2 linked regions of the Drosophila melanogaster genome follow. The protein of the gene in region 2 interacts with the protein of the main gene of each other region in a pairwise test. Each region holds a gene or a part of one and is shown on either strand. Other genes may lie near its edges.

Region 1 (7,404 bases), on a different chromosome or scaffold from region 2:
ATTTGGGACATCATTTCCGGCCAGAAATACAAAACTATTTCAGCGAACGTATGAAAGAGCGCCAGAATAAACAGCTGTTTAACGTACGCTAATCGAATACACATTTTAATTTATCGATAGCTGACGTGCCTGAAGTTTCTCCACGTCGCGAAGCGTTCACACTGGTCGGCAGTGTATATCGAAATGTTCCGAATGCATTTAGTTCAATTATTTTCATAAAATTGTTATCATAATATTGACTTCTTGAAAAATGTTTAAAATAACAAAATGTGTGTAGTGCCACCAAATCAGTGTGTGCGAATTAAGGCCTAAAACAAAAACAATCGGGTTCGAGCATCGGCTATCGGTAAAGGATCCAATATCGTAACTATTGTACCGATGCGTACCAGTACCGCGTAACGGTACATTGATTGCATTACAAATTTATAAATTATAGAATATAATACAAAATAGTACACTTGGATATTTATTTTTAATTATTTTTTGGCAGCAATTTCCGCCCTTGGCTGTAATGTATTGAATGAAACAAAGTGTCTTAATTTTGATATATTTTTATTTTTATATATTCTTATACATAGCACGGGTTTACGATCATTTCTTAGGTTAACACTTCTATTATTTGCGTTAAGCACTTTTACCACTCAACACAACTAGGAAATGTTATTTTTTAACTACGCATAATGGGTGGTATGCGAATTTTTGTATAATTGTTGACCATTTTGACTTAAAGCTATAATATAAATAAGCTTGGTTTTTTATAAATGCTATTCTTATTCATCATTTGGAAGCAAAGATCATTCCTTTTTGCTCGATTTAACAACAGTTTATAAATGTGCACCTAAAATAAACTAAATGAGATACGAAAGCGTGTAATAAATAATAATTTTGAATAAATAATTGTTTAATAGTGTTGGTGTAAAAGGCAACAAAGAAAATGTGTTGTTATTGAGAGTCTACTTGTGTTTTAACTCCCTTATCTAAGCGATTAATTCGAGTTGGTTCATTCAGCTCGATGGTCAAACTTGGTTTAACAATAAGTCATCTTAAAACTTGACCTGATTCCGGCCGAAAACTCTTACCGGTTTACACGATCTAGGATTAACAATATTAAAATTTATTACCTTAAAGTTGATCTTACGGCTGCGTAATTGTTAATTGTTACTATTGAATTATCTTGGGCTAGGTCTAACTTCTTCATTGTGTGTGTGTGTGATTACCTTAATGGTTTTTTTTTAAGCTTGACAGGCTGAATATTCATTATTTTTTTAAATTCTTTGCAATTATTCGGTTCACTTCATATAGTCGTGGTATTATTGAAGACGTTTGCAAAGATTTAAAGTGTACTTGACTAAACAACAGCGTTTAGTTGGTCGATCGAAATATTGCACCATTGTGATGTTTAATTTCGGACAAACTTTCTTGAATTCACTCCTTAAATCTAAATTATTTTAATACCAATTTGTTACTTGACTTTAGAGCTCTTCGTTTAAGGATTTACAACTAATCGAATTCGTTTCTAGGTTAATATTTGATTTTGTTTTGTTTTTTTCGAAAGAAGGCATGGTTATGAGCTAGCGATTTCCATGAAATACCACCGGCAACATTTAGATATTAAGTTATTTATAAAATATACTTGCTTAACATACAGTAGAATCATATATAATTACGCACAGGAGTGATGGGGATGTGTTATTGCAGGTGAACGTGGGAACAATGCTAACTCTAATACTATTCCGGAAAAGTCTAACAAACATGCGCTTTAGGCTCTACCAAATAAACAATTAACAATTAATACAAAGCGATTACACTGCTAGTAGACAATGGGGCGAAAAGATGTTTTGTTTAGTCGATTAGATTTGGCTTCGATTGCGGATATTGTTAGTAGAAGTGCGGCGGCGGCAACGTTTGCGAGGGCAACGTTGTCGGCTGCTGTTCCCATCAGACAACAGAATCTTTCCGTATCCTGAATTTGTTAGCATGTTTTCGGGGGGAAAAGAGAGACAAGACAACATTTCATCAGCAATGGAAGGGATGGGAGTTGAGTTAGTTTCAGGAATTCGGTTGCTTAAAACTATTTTCGCACCACATATAGTTCTCAGTCTGAGGGGCACGCATAACGCCCACGCCGCCGCCCAGTCGGCGGTAGTTCATGCAGCCGCACAAACGCCATTGGTTCGTCTCTGGGTCGTAGACCTCGATGGTTTTCAAATAGGCGGAACCATCAAAGCCGCCCACAGCATACAGCTGTCCATTGACGACGGCCAGGCCAACCTAAAATGGTGCGATTTCATTTAATACAATACTATTCGCCGAGAAAAAGTGTAACAAAAACTCACCCCACTGCGGCGGGAGGTCATGGCCACGATGGGGCTCCAGGTATTGGTCAGTGGATTGTAGCGCTCGGCGGACGAGAGCTCCATGCAATCGTCTCGCCCGCCGACGGCGTAAATGTAGTTATTGAACACAGCACAGCCCAGGTGCTTGCGTCGCGTTGACATCGGGCTGACTGCTACCCATTTGTTGTGTCTGTAATGATAAAATCGGGGCAATGTAAATCAAACAAATACTACGTTCAAGTGCAATGTACATTAAGGTCATTTGTTACAAGCGATAGAAAATGTACTTGTACGTCTAAAGCTTTTAAATGCTTTATTTATGATTTACCTGGGATCATATCGCTCTACGGTGTTCAACGGGCACTGTCCATCGGAGCCGCCAATTGCGTAGAGAAATCCTCCAAGCACGGCTACCGCCACTCCCAGTCGCCTTGTTGTCATCGGTGCCACTTTCGACCATTTGTTCTCTTTTGGATCGTAGCGCTCCACGTGGTTCAAACATTGAACGCCATCCTGGCCACCCACCGCGTACAAGAAGCCGTCGAGCACAGCCACGCCGACGCTGGTGCGGCAGGAAGTGGTGGGCGCAACGTCGCAGGACCATTGATTCGTTTGTGGATCATAACGCTCGATGCTATTCAGATAGCTCTGGCCATCGTGACCGCCCACGGCGTAAAGTAGATCATTTAACACGGCCACGCCAACTCCGCAGCGTCGTTTGCTCATGGGAGCGACCATTTTCCAGTCGTTGGTCTGAGGATCGAAACGCTCCACGGAGGCAATAGCATCGCCGGAACACCAACCGCCCACGGCGAACAGGACTTCGCCTCGTCGAGTTGGCTTTCGCGGTCTGGTGCGTGGACCCTGCATCAGCGGTCGCTCCTGCGGAAGCAACAGATAGTTCTTAGCCTCATCCACCAAATCCCGGCAGGCCTCGTCGCTGCGCACCAGGAGATCAGAGCCCACCGTGCCAACCAGGAACTTTGGCGACAGCAGAGGCAGACGGACGTGTTGGAGCACCTGAGAATATTCGAAAATATCAATTCATTATTTATTTATTAGTTGCAATACTTAAAAATTGAGCTGTTTATATTATTCCAAAGTAATTATCAAACGGAACAAGTAGGAATCGGTGAGTAGTAATCAGATATGGTTTACAGTAGCTCACCTGTGCCAGATGTTGTCGCCGCTCGGCGACATTGTACTTGAGCCAGGACATGACCGCGTTGAAGACCTGCTCCTCGGAGCGCACGTTTAGCTCGTCGCTGCAAATGATGTCCACCAGCTGGCCGACGGGGAGCAGCAGAAACTCCTCGCTCTCCATCACCTCCTGGAAGTTGTGCTGCGTGAATTTGTCGGCGATCCGTAGAAGTTCCCGGCAGGAGTGTGTGTCGGCAAAGGCGCGTATGCCCAGGCAGTTGGTGGGATCCAATTGCCGTTTGAGGAACTCGCAGCAGATGTCCTGAATCTCAACCAGTTGAAGCAGGCAGGCGGCGGGAAGGAGGGTCTGGACATTCGACTCCTCGACGATTATGTGGGCGGTGTAACAAAAGTCGATGAGCAGCTCCATGGCATTCTCATCGATGTCGCGTATGGTGACCTCAGTCTGGCGCGATTCCTCCAATTCGCCAGTGAACATGGCACAGAAGTAGGAGCTGCAGGCGGACAGGATTACCCGGTGGGCAAAGATCTTCCGTCCGCCCACGTTGAGCACCACATCGCAGAGCTCCCGATGGCGCCGTAGCATATTTAGTTCAGTGAGCGTGACCTTCGGATGTTTCTCGGACGTGTGAGAGAGGCGGGCGGGCGACGGAGGTCGGTCCACTGCCGTAGATCCAACGGAGGAGCCGCCACCAGCCGTGGAATTACCACCGGTACCGGTGACAGCTGTTGGCATACATAATGATTTTGAGTATAAAAATACCATATGTTTGGAATAGTACAAATAAACTTAATGGTACCGATTAATTGGAATTGTGAATGAGAGTTCAAATACTTTTTTATGAAGGAAAAACCTTTTCTAATAGTATTTTTTAGCTGAAAGATCATAGTCTTACGAACAAATATGAAGTATTTAAAGTCACATGAGGCACACAGGTTGCCCCTGGCTTGCTCTCTTCCCAATTCCAAACCAAGCTCCTATCAAATCCTTACCAGCATCCCGTGGTTGAGCGGTGGAGCCCGAGCCCGGCAGGTCGCCCATTCTGTTCGCTGCTAAGCGCAGCGGGCCGGAAGCAACCCAACCCCACACGGCGTCTATCTGTGGGCAGAAATGGTAGTATATAGTAGAATAGTGATTAATGGTCAAGTCAAAGTAAATTAAATCAATGCGTAGGTAGGGCGTAGAAGGGCGGCATTGAACTCGATTATAAGTAAGTAAGTAACTAATCAATTTACAAGGACATTGTGCTTCGTTTAATATCTTCTTGAAGCGACTGTTTACTTAATAAATTAAGTAATTGTACATTTTTGATGCAAATAATTCATATTCTGGGCACTGGATGTGGAAATTCTGATTTATTTTTCTTGTCCTCCGCCCTTTTGCACCACCCACACACAGACATGCTGTGTAACACGCACACATTCACAACTTCGGATCTGCGGATACTAAGGTGGACCTTTCGACTAAAGAAACATCTTAACACTAATACGAGTGTTATTTAAGGTATTCATTCAACACGTTAAGTTTAACAATCCACCATTCGTATAAATGATATAAAATAAATATTAATAATCCTTAAATATTTAGAAACTTTAAGCTAAAAGATCGTTACTTGAAACTTCTGTTTTGAATCTTAAAATAGCTAAGTTTTAAAATTAAAACATGTACTTTAATTGGTAAACAAATTGGCAGGTTGAGTTAATCGATGGTTAAGATAAACAGTTCTCTAGTTCAATAATATGCTTGTGGAATTATCTTCAACCTAATTTAATTAAAACTGAAATCTCTTTTATTCATGTGATATATGTTCAATCGCTTTTACAACATTCACTCCATGGAACACCTTAAAACTGAAAGGTAACCTGGTCCACCCACAAGCACACACCACACACACACACACGCGGATGATGTTGGTTTAGATTTCGATGTATATGTTGGTGTCCCAACCTTTGCGTCTCTGTTCTCTACGGATACAAAGCACGTCCAGGGCCAGCTGCAGGCGGAAAATTTCGAAAATGCAATCTTGATGGCTTAAAAGGACCACATCGAAGATTTTCCTTGCGCGAATTGCACTTTTCAGTACGGAAAAATCGTTTTTTGGTTGGCCTGGAAAAGTCGAAACACGAAACGATTGGTATGGCGATAGAGATGTGAGAAATGCATAACAATATCAGTGTATCGATATTTTTGAGAATACACTTATTTATATTGTGATACTTTGGTGGACATTTCGTTATATCGATATTGTTATTAAATCGTAAACGTAAGCTAATTTTAAGGAGATCTGTTTGAAATATCTCTTCACATTTTTTTTCGAAATTAAAATAAGAGATCACATATTTTTAAATAATTAAAAATAAAATAAACACTATTTGTATACAACTACAAGTAAGTGCAACGGAAGGGAATCTAACTGTGAATTATTGAAATCATTATAATAATCTCTTAAAATTTTCATTAGTAAACTGTCTTTTAATATTCCCGAAAAAATAAGCAAATAACGTAAGACAGGCTTTGTAAGAGTACATTTATCACAGAGCCAACTGTATTTGGCTTCCCTGGTCGCTAAAGAAACGGTATATTTTGGTATCTTAGTGAGCAGCATGCTGGTATTTTTTATTTCATACTATTTCTATACGCGACGCTGAAGAGGAAGGCGAGTTTTGAGCAGTTGAAAAGCCCGTTAAATAGTGCAAAATAGTAGCTAATTTTAAGTGCAACGTGTAAATAAAGGCAATTTAGATCGCGAAAAAGTTCGGTGAGCAAATAATAATTTGAGATTGGAAAGTGGAAAGTACGTGAACTGGGCGAGAAAAGAAAACGGAAAAACGTGAGACTGTGTGCGTGCGAAGAATTTTCCGTCTCCCTCGCACCAAAGTGGAGCGCACTCAATTATTTTGTGGATGGAGTGGAACACAAACAACAAAAACGACAACGACTATAGCAATAACAAAAACGACGACACAGCAACAAAAACAGCAATAGCAACAACAGAATTAAATGCAAATGCAAAACATGTTGAGGGAAAGAGAGCGAAAATCGAGAGAACAATAGCAAAAGGATGTAATGCAACCGATGGAATAACTAGAGTACAAGTACAAAAATTGCATTGGAAATTTAAATTCGTGCGACAAAAGCGGACGATTGCAGAAATTTTCGAAACTTGGCAGCCATATTTACTACAAAAGCAACGCCGTTGTAAAAATACGTGACAAAACGCTTACACACACATACTCACATTCGTACACCCACACACAGTTGCGCTCTCTCACACACATACACACAGTTGCGCTCTCTCACACATAAACACACAAGCGTATCGAAAGACTGGTGCAGACAGAGAGAGACGCGAATGTGAATTAACAAACAAACAAAAATATTTTGCGAAAAAGACAAACACAAAAAGTAAAGCCAATAAAGTGTATTACATAAACAAACGGAGCTCCGATATCTAAATAAATATTATGGAAATCGCACCACTGATCAATAACGCCGTCGCTGTCGTCACAGCCTCTGCCTCTGCCGCCGTCTCTGCCTCTGCTAGCGTCGGCAGTAGCAGCAAGGATGATAACGGTAGGCGGGTCTCTAGATGATAAGCGGTACACTTCCAGTGGGTTCATAATAAACTATAAAAATAATAAAATATATGTAAATACAAAGCATAAAGTGTAGTACGTGCTCGAAAGAGTCACACTTTCTCGTTAAAGAACTTCACGTTCTATCCATATTATATGATTATTATGTTTCAAAATCCTTTATAATCAAAAGCGAATTAGACAATCAGAATATCTCCCACCCAGCAATTCATAATCTATATAAAATATAGTCAGAATATTGCAATCATACAAAAATAAATACAAACACAAGGACTTAAGTATTTGGCTTTAATCAAAATATATCCATTTG
Region 2 (5,295 bases):
GTAATACCTCCTTGAAGTTTAATTTATACATCAACTTTATCAGTCAAAACTTTGATTTCGTCTGACACTTTTTTCGATTACGATCCGTCGCCAATAATTGCGATAAATCTTATCAAGTCTTTTTGGGATTGGCGCTCAAATTTACAATATGGCCGTACATCCTACTTATGTATGTTTTTTAACTAATTAATCACCACAATGCAAAGTACTCTTTCTTTGTTGAGCCCATATGCACTCACATTTGCACCATGAATCATGTCAGTAGCTCGTTTCATGTAACAATTTCTACTTTGCCAGATTACGATGCGTTCGGAACAGGCAGATAAGAATTCGGCCCATCCAAGAAAGGCCTTGACAGTTCTACCCCAAAATAGAGATATCCTCGTGATATTAGAAGGAACCCAACAATATGCTCGTTCTTATCTTCTTATAGAAATTTGTGAATTCCCGTATCCAATGAAATCATTTTACTTAGTAAAATGATTTGTTAGGCCTTAAAAAAAAACAAAAACACCCGAACTATCAGTACCACAATTTAAGAGAGAACTCGTTATTATTTAACTTTATTAATTATGTATTTCTTTATCAAAAGAGCAGACTTTTTGTTTGTGACTGTCTTCAACATTAGATCCGTCTTTAACATTAGATCAGATCACCTGACACGGGAAACTCTCGTAGACTTTATACAATTCAAAAAAACCAAAATCGTTACTTGACACAAATATCATAACTAATGCATAAAATATGAAATGAGAGATATCTAAAATAGCTTGGCATATTTTCTTGGTAAAATAAATGTGTTAAATACAAAGAATGTAAAATGCAATAAATGATACATATATCAAAAATGGAATACCACGGTTACTTTAAGTGCTAGCATAACAAATTACAATAATAATTCAATATCTAGCCATTCGTTGCACATAATTTGGAGGGTTAAGAGGGTAAACAATGGATGGGAAATGGGCTGGGTTAGTTGCGAATTGGTTTATATGGTTTATAATCCAACATCAGTATTATCGTTTTCGTTAGTATGTAAATACAATTTGATTTTGTTCTATCGTGAATTTCAATTGGAAGCTTTTATGAGTTCTGTCCCACCACCTGCACGTAGTTGGCTGGAAAGAGTCCGTAGCGGTTCTTGCACAATCCCCTCCACCACCCATCGTCGATCTTCTCGATGTGGGTGATCACGTCATCTGGATCAAAGGATATCTCGTCGTCATCCGCCGCCTGGTAGTCGTACAGGGCAATGGCGTGGATTCCGGTGTCCTCCAGATAGTCGGCCAAATTGTCTGAGTTCGCGTAGATTGCCTCCTCGGGAACGGTTGCGGTGCCACTCGGAGCAACAGCCTCTGAAACGGTTCCATTCGTTGGTGGCAAGGGCGAGGCAGCCTTAATCTCGGCCTGGTTCTGGTACAGTGGCTCTTCTTCAACTACTGGCTCAGGATCGGCTTGAGGTTGCGGCTCAGGTTGGACTTGGACTTGGGCGTGGACTTCGGGTTGAGGCGTCGGCACATACACTGGTGATTGCGGCTCACTTCTGGGAGGCGTGTCCACGGTCTCAACCTCAATTTGGGGCACCACATCTGGTGGTGGAGCTGCAGCCTTGGCCACTGGAGCTGTTTCCGGCTCTCGAGCGGGGACCACTGTCGGAGTAGGAGCAACCGCAGCTGATGTTGTACTTGCCGTTGGCTCCTCCTTTGCTTCTAATTCTATTTTAACAGGCTGCGCCTTGGGAATGATAATGGGTTCCTTTCGTGCTGGAGGGGTTTCAGAAACAGGCGACTGCATCTGGTTAAATGCACTGATAGCATTGCCAATGCCACCGGTCCGACCTGTCTGGATGGCCGCCCTGCTGCCCTTTGGAGGCGGTGCTTCCGTCGAGGTACGAGGAGTGTTCTCGGCCACAGTCTTCTTGGCGGCTTCCTCCCGATCCCGCTTGTCCTTGGCCTCACGGAGACGTTTCTGTTCCTCGGCCCGCTTACGTGACTCCTCCTCGGAGTTTTTAGCCAGATTCTCGAACTTGGCACGCAAATTGGAAGGCTTGGCACCTTCGATGACTGGCTTGACCTTGTGGTCCACCTGGCTGGCGTGCTTCTGCGGAGCCTCTTTGTGGTCCCATCCCACCGCGGACTTGTCCTTTCGGTCCTCCTGAACGCCAAACTTGCCGCCAAAGCCCTTGGAGTAATCTTATGTTGGGAGAAGATATAAATAAAATAATCAGACATGAACATACTAAGAAAAAATCAATGAGAAATTCATTTCCGTTAGGTAACTTACCCTTCTGAGACTCGTGCTTCTCCACCTTCTCGATGTGATCCCAGCCCACGGCGGATTTATCCACCCGATCGGACTGCACTCCAAATTTGCCTCCGAAGCCGGTGGCGTAATCCTTCTGGGAGGCGTGCTTCTCGACCTTTTCGACGTGGTCCCAGCCCACGGCAGACTTGTCCTTGCGATCCTCTTGCACTCCGAACTTTCCCCCAAAACCATCGCTGTAGTCCTTCTGCGAGGCGTGCTTTCCCACCTTGCCCTGGTAGTCATGACCCACAGCCGACTTGTCCATGCGGTCCTTCTCAACGCCAAACTTGCCCCCGTATCCGTATCCTGCGTTCTGATCCTTCAGCAGCTGCTTCTTCTTGTCCAGATCGGCCTGCTCCGTCTCCTCGCGCAGCTTGTCCATGCTAAAAAGAATAAAGAAAGGGAACAATGAACCCGATACCCAGTGTTTCGAGAATTTCGGATGACTCACTCGATGGTGCCTGCTGTGCGACCGCTGCCGTCGATCGTCTTTGATCCCCAGCGCTGCTCCTGCTCACTGACATCGTTCACGAAGTCCGGATCCGTCTCCCAGTCGTCGTCCTCCGCGGAGGCTGCACTGGTGGCCTGAATCTGGTGACCGGCACTTGCCTTCCACATTCTTTTTACCGGTTTCTGGTCGCTGGTTACTCGCTTATCCTTATCTGCTGGGTAGATAGATAAACACCATGACGAGTGTGAGTAGTCGGGGCAGGTTTTCAGTTGCAGGGGCTCCGCTTCCGATTCGTGGCCCAGATAACAAGTCACAAAACACCGAAGAAGGGAGGGGCCGACAAAGCCGGATCGGGAACAAGATGCCACTGGCGCTCTATGTTCATATGTATACTCACATCCCGATGACTAACTCCTACTGCAAGAGGAACTTATGATCTGATGCCGCTAGGGATGTCTGCAAATTTCTGGGAGGAGAAGGGTTAAACAATTGATTCATAAAGAGACCAACAAACGGGAAACTAACTGAACTAAATTTCATTCGATACAATGGATGCATCGATATGCTACGAAAAGCCGATAAATTATTGTGATGAGCTTGACAAAAGGTAGTTGCTGCAGTTTTAGGGGCGCCCAATTTAAATGATTAAGAGATACAGTCGTGGTTCTTTTACTTTATTCGATAAGTCAATGCACCGATATATACTGCAGTACCAATATATGTGATCGTGATCAATAGAACTGAGTGCTCGGGCAAAAGGTATTTGATGTTATACCAAGTGGCGCCATAGTAATTTGTATAATTAATAAGATTCTGCCAGAACGGTAATTAACAGGTATAAGAGTTGACTTTTTTCATATAACCGCAAACATATCATCGATATATCGATAGTTTTGGATTTGAATTTGCTTCGATGTCGGCTGACAATTAACGTAATTGGTTTTTATATATAGTTATAAAAATACAAATAAAAATAGTTATAAAACGGCTTAGGAAGGAACAGGATATTTATTTAACTGTATTGCCCTAACGGCTGAATATTGAAGTCAAAGGTTACATTTTGAAATTCAATGCGTAATCAGATCTTATTTTCCCAATGTCGTCATTATCACAACGGAAATATCATGAATGTCTCAACAGCTTCCAATGCCGATGATTCATCCATCTCGGAACACTTTAGATTCTACGGTGTATACTATGACGACGCAGAAGATACCAGCTTCCAGTTAGGCGCTACCACCGAATATTTCCTAGCAACAACAACCTATCGCCGGTTGGTTCATCTCTAATCGACTTCCAGCGAGAGAGCGCGAGTATAAAAGCCAAAGACGGAGCGCAAACAGCTATGGTATTTATTCACATCGCTTGCAGTTCGCATCGTCTGACTTGTACGTTGAAAATCGAATATCATTGGTAAATCAAAAGGAATTTGTAGATAAAACTCATTGTTTACTCTCGCTGTGCCAGAAATCGCAAAAAATCAAGCGGAAAATCAGTCGGAAAAGTGAGAAAAGAAAGTGTGTGCTAAACACTCAAAGATAATTTTCATTTGTGCCATTCCAAAATGGGCATTTTGTAGAATTCTAGTTGTGGGTGCGGTATCGCGAGAATTCTCCAGAATCTTGTTTCTCTATTTACTTTATATTTCAATAATAAAAGCCTCGGGTGGGAGAAAAATTCAAAACCGAAAGATGACATCATCAAACTCAAAAGCAAAAGCCCCACTCTTTTGGCGTTTTCTCTCGCGACGCGTGTGACTTTTCTCATCTCCGACGAAATCTAAGTAAACTTTTCTGTTCCTTTCTTGCTTTCCCATTTTACGTAGGAATGAGAAGCGGAATTTTTCGAAATATCTCTATCCCCCAGTGCCCTGCTTAATTTAGTAATTCAATCAACTTCAATTGCCCGACAGGCACTTCAAACTACAGTAAGCACTGTGTATGAGCGCCTGTGCCTTGCTCAGCATTACTCACCGGAATCGGATGTGGCCACATTCCACCGTCCACAAAATATAGTAGTAGTGTACTCGAGGCCGTGCAATTATAGTAGAATAGGTGTGTCATCAAGGTTTATTACTAAGTGAATTGCTCAGTGCATTTGCAAAACATTTTTGAAACATTTCGAGGTACAGTCCATCGAGGTCTCCAAAAGAAGTTGGCAAAAGCTTTTGTTTATGGAGTTTTTCACACATGGTCACGAGCTATTCCAGTTTTTACACCTATATTATAATATCTCTTTTTTAAAGTCGTGCTCAGAGCTTAAAATTGACGTCACAAATCTGGTGAATCACTGAGTGCTGTAATTTCAATGTATCATCAGTCTATTTCAAGAACAACATTACCAGATACGCTATGCTAAAGCATATCTATCAATCTTGTTTTTTCCAGACCCCAACCACTTTTTATAATGAAACAAAAGAATTGTAATTAAGGGTGTTTTCAAACACAAATGTGTTTTCTACATTGAGGTCAAACTATTACGGAGAACTCCAATCAATATTTAGAGAGTCTAACCAATTATTATTGATTACATTATTCTCA

What was found. The genes of interacting proteins can lie anywhere in the genome.
Region 1: the proteins of Cortactin (region 2) and dbo interact in a two-hybrid assay, tested with the Drosophila melanogaster proteins (one large-scale study listed by BioGRID).

What each region holds. Positions count from the first base shown.
Region 1 is NT_037436.4:15,825,138-15,832,541, reverse strand, and holds dbo (diablo), read right to left. Parts: upstream 5,655-7,404; 5' UTR 5,446-5,654; intron 4,597-5,445; 5' UTR 4,540-4,596; coding exon 4,491-4,539; intron 4,224-4,490; coding exon 3,505-4,223; intron 3,357-3,504; coding exon 2,665-3,356; intron 2,527-2,664; coding exon 2,337-2,526; intron 2,272-2,336; coding exon 2,050-2,271; 3' UTR 1,964-2,049; coding exon of another isoform or gene 1,939-1,963; 3' UTR 538-1,938; downstream 1-537. Other genes in the region: CG12713 (uncharacterized protein), read right to left, coding at 1-14; DCP2 (decapping protein 2), read left to right, coding at 6,963-7,071. UniProt on the Drosophila melanogaster protein: Probable substrate-specific adapter of an E3 ubiquitin-protein ligase complex which mediates the ubiquitination and subsequent proteasomal degradation of target proteins. May have a role in synapse differentiation and growth.
Region 2 is NT_033777.3:21,061,143-21,066,437, forward strand, and holds Cortactin (cortactin), read right to left. Parts: upstream 3,330-5,295; 5' UTR 3,281-3,329; exon of another isoform or gene 3,222-3,280; 5' UTR 3,153-3,221; intron 2,970-3,152; exon of another isoform or gene 2,967-2,969; 5' UTR 2,923-2,966; coding exon 2,756-2,922; intron 2,688-2,755; coding exon 2,284-2,687; intron 2,193-2,283; coding exon 1,084-2,192; 3' UTR 538-1,083; downstream 1-537.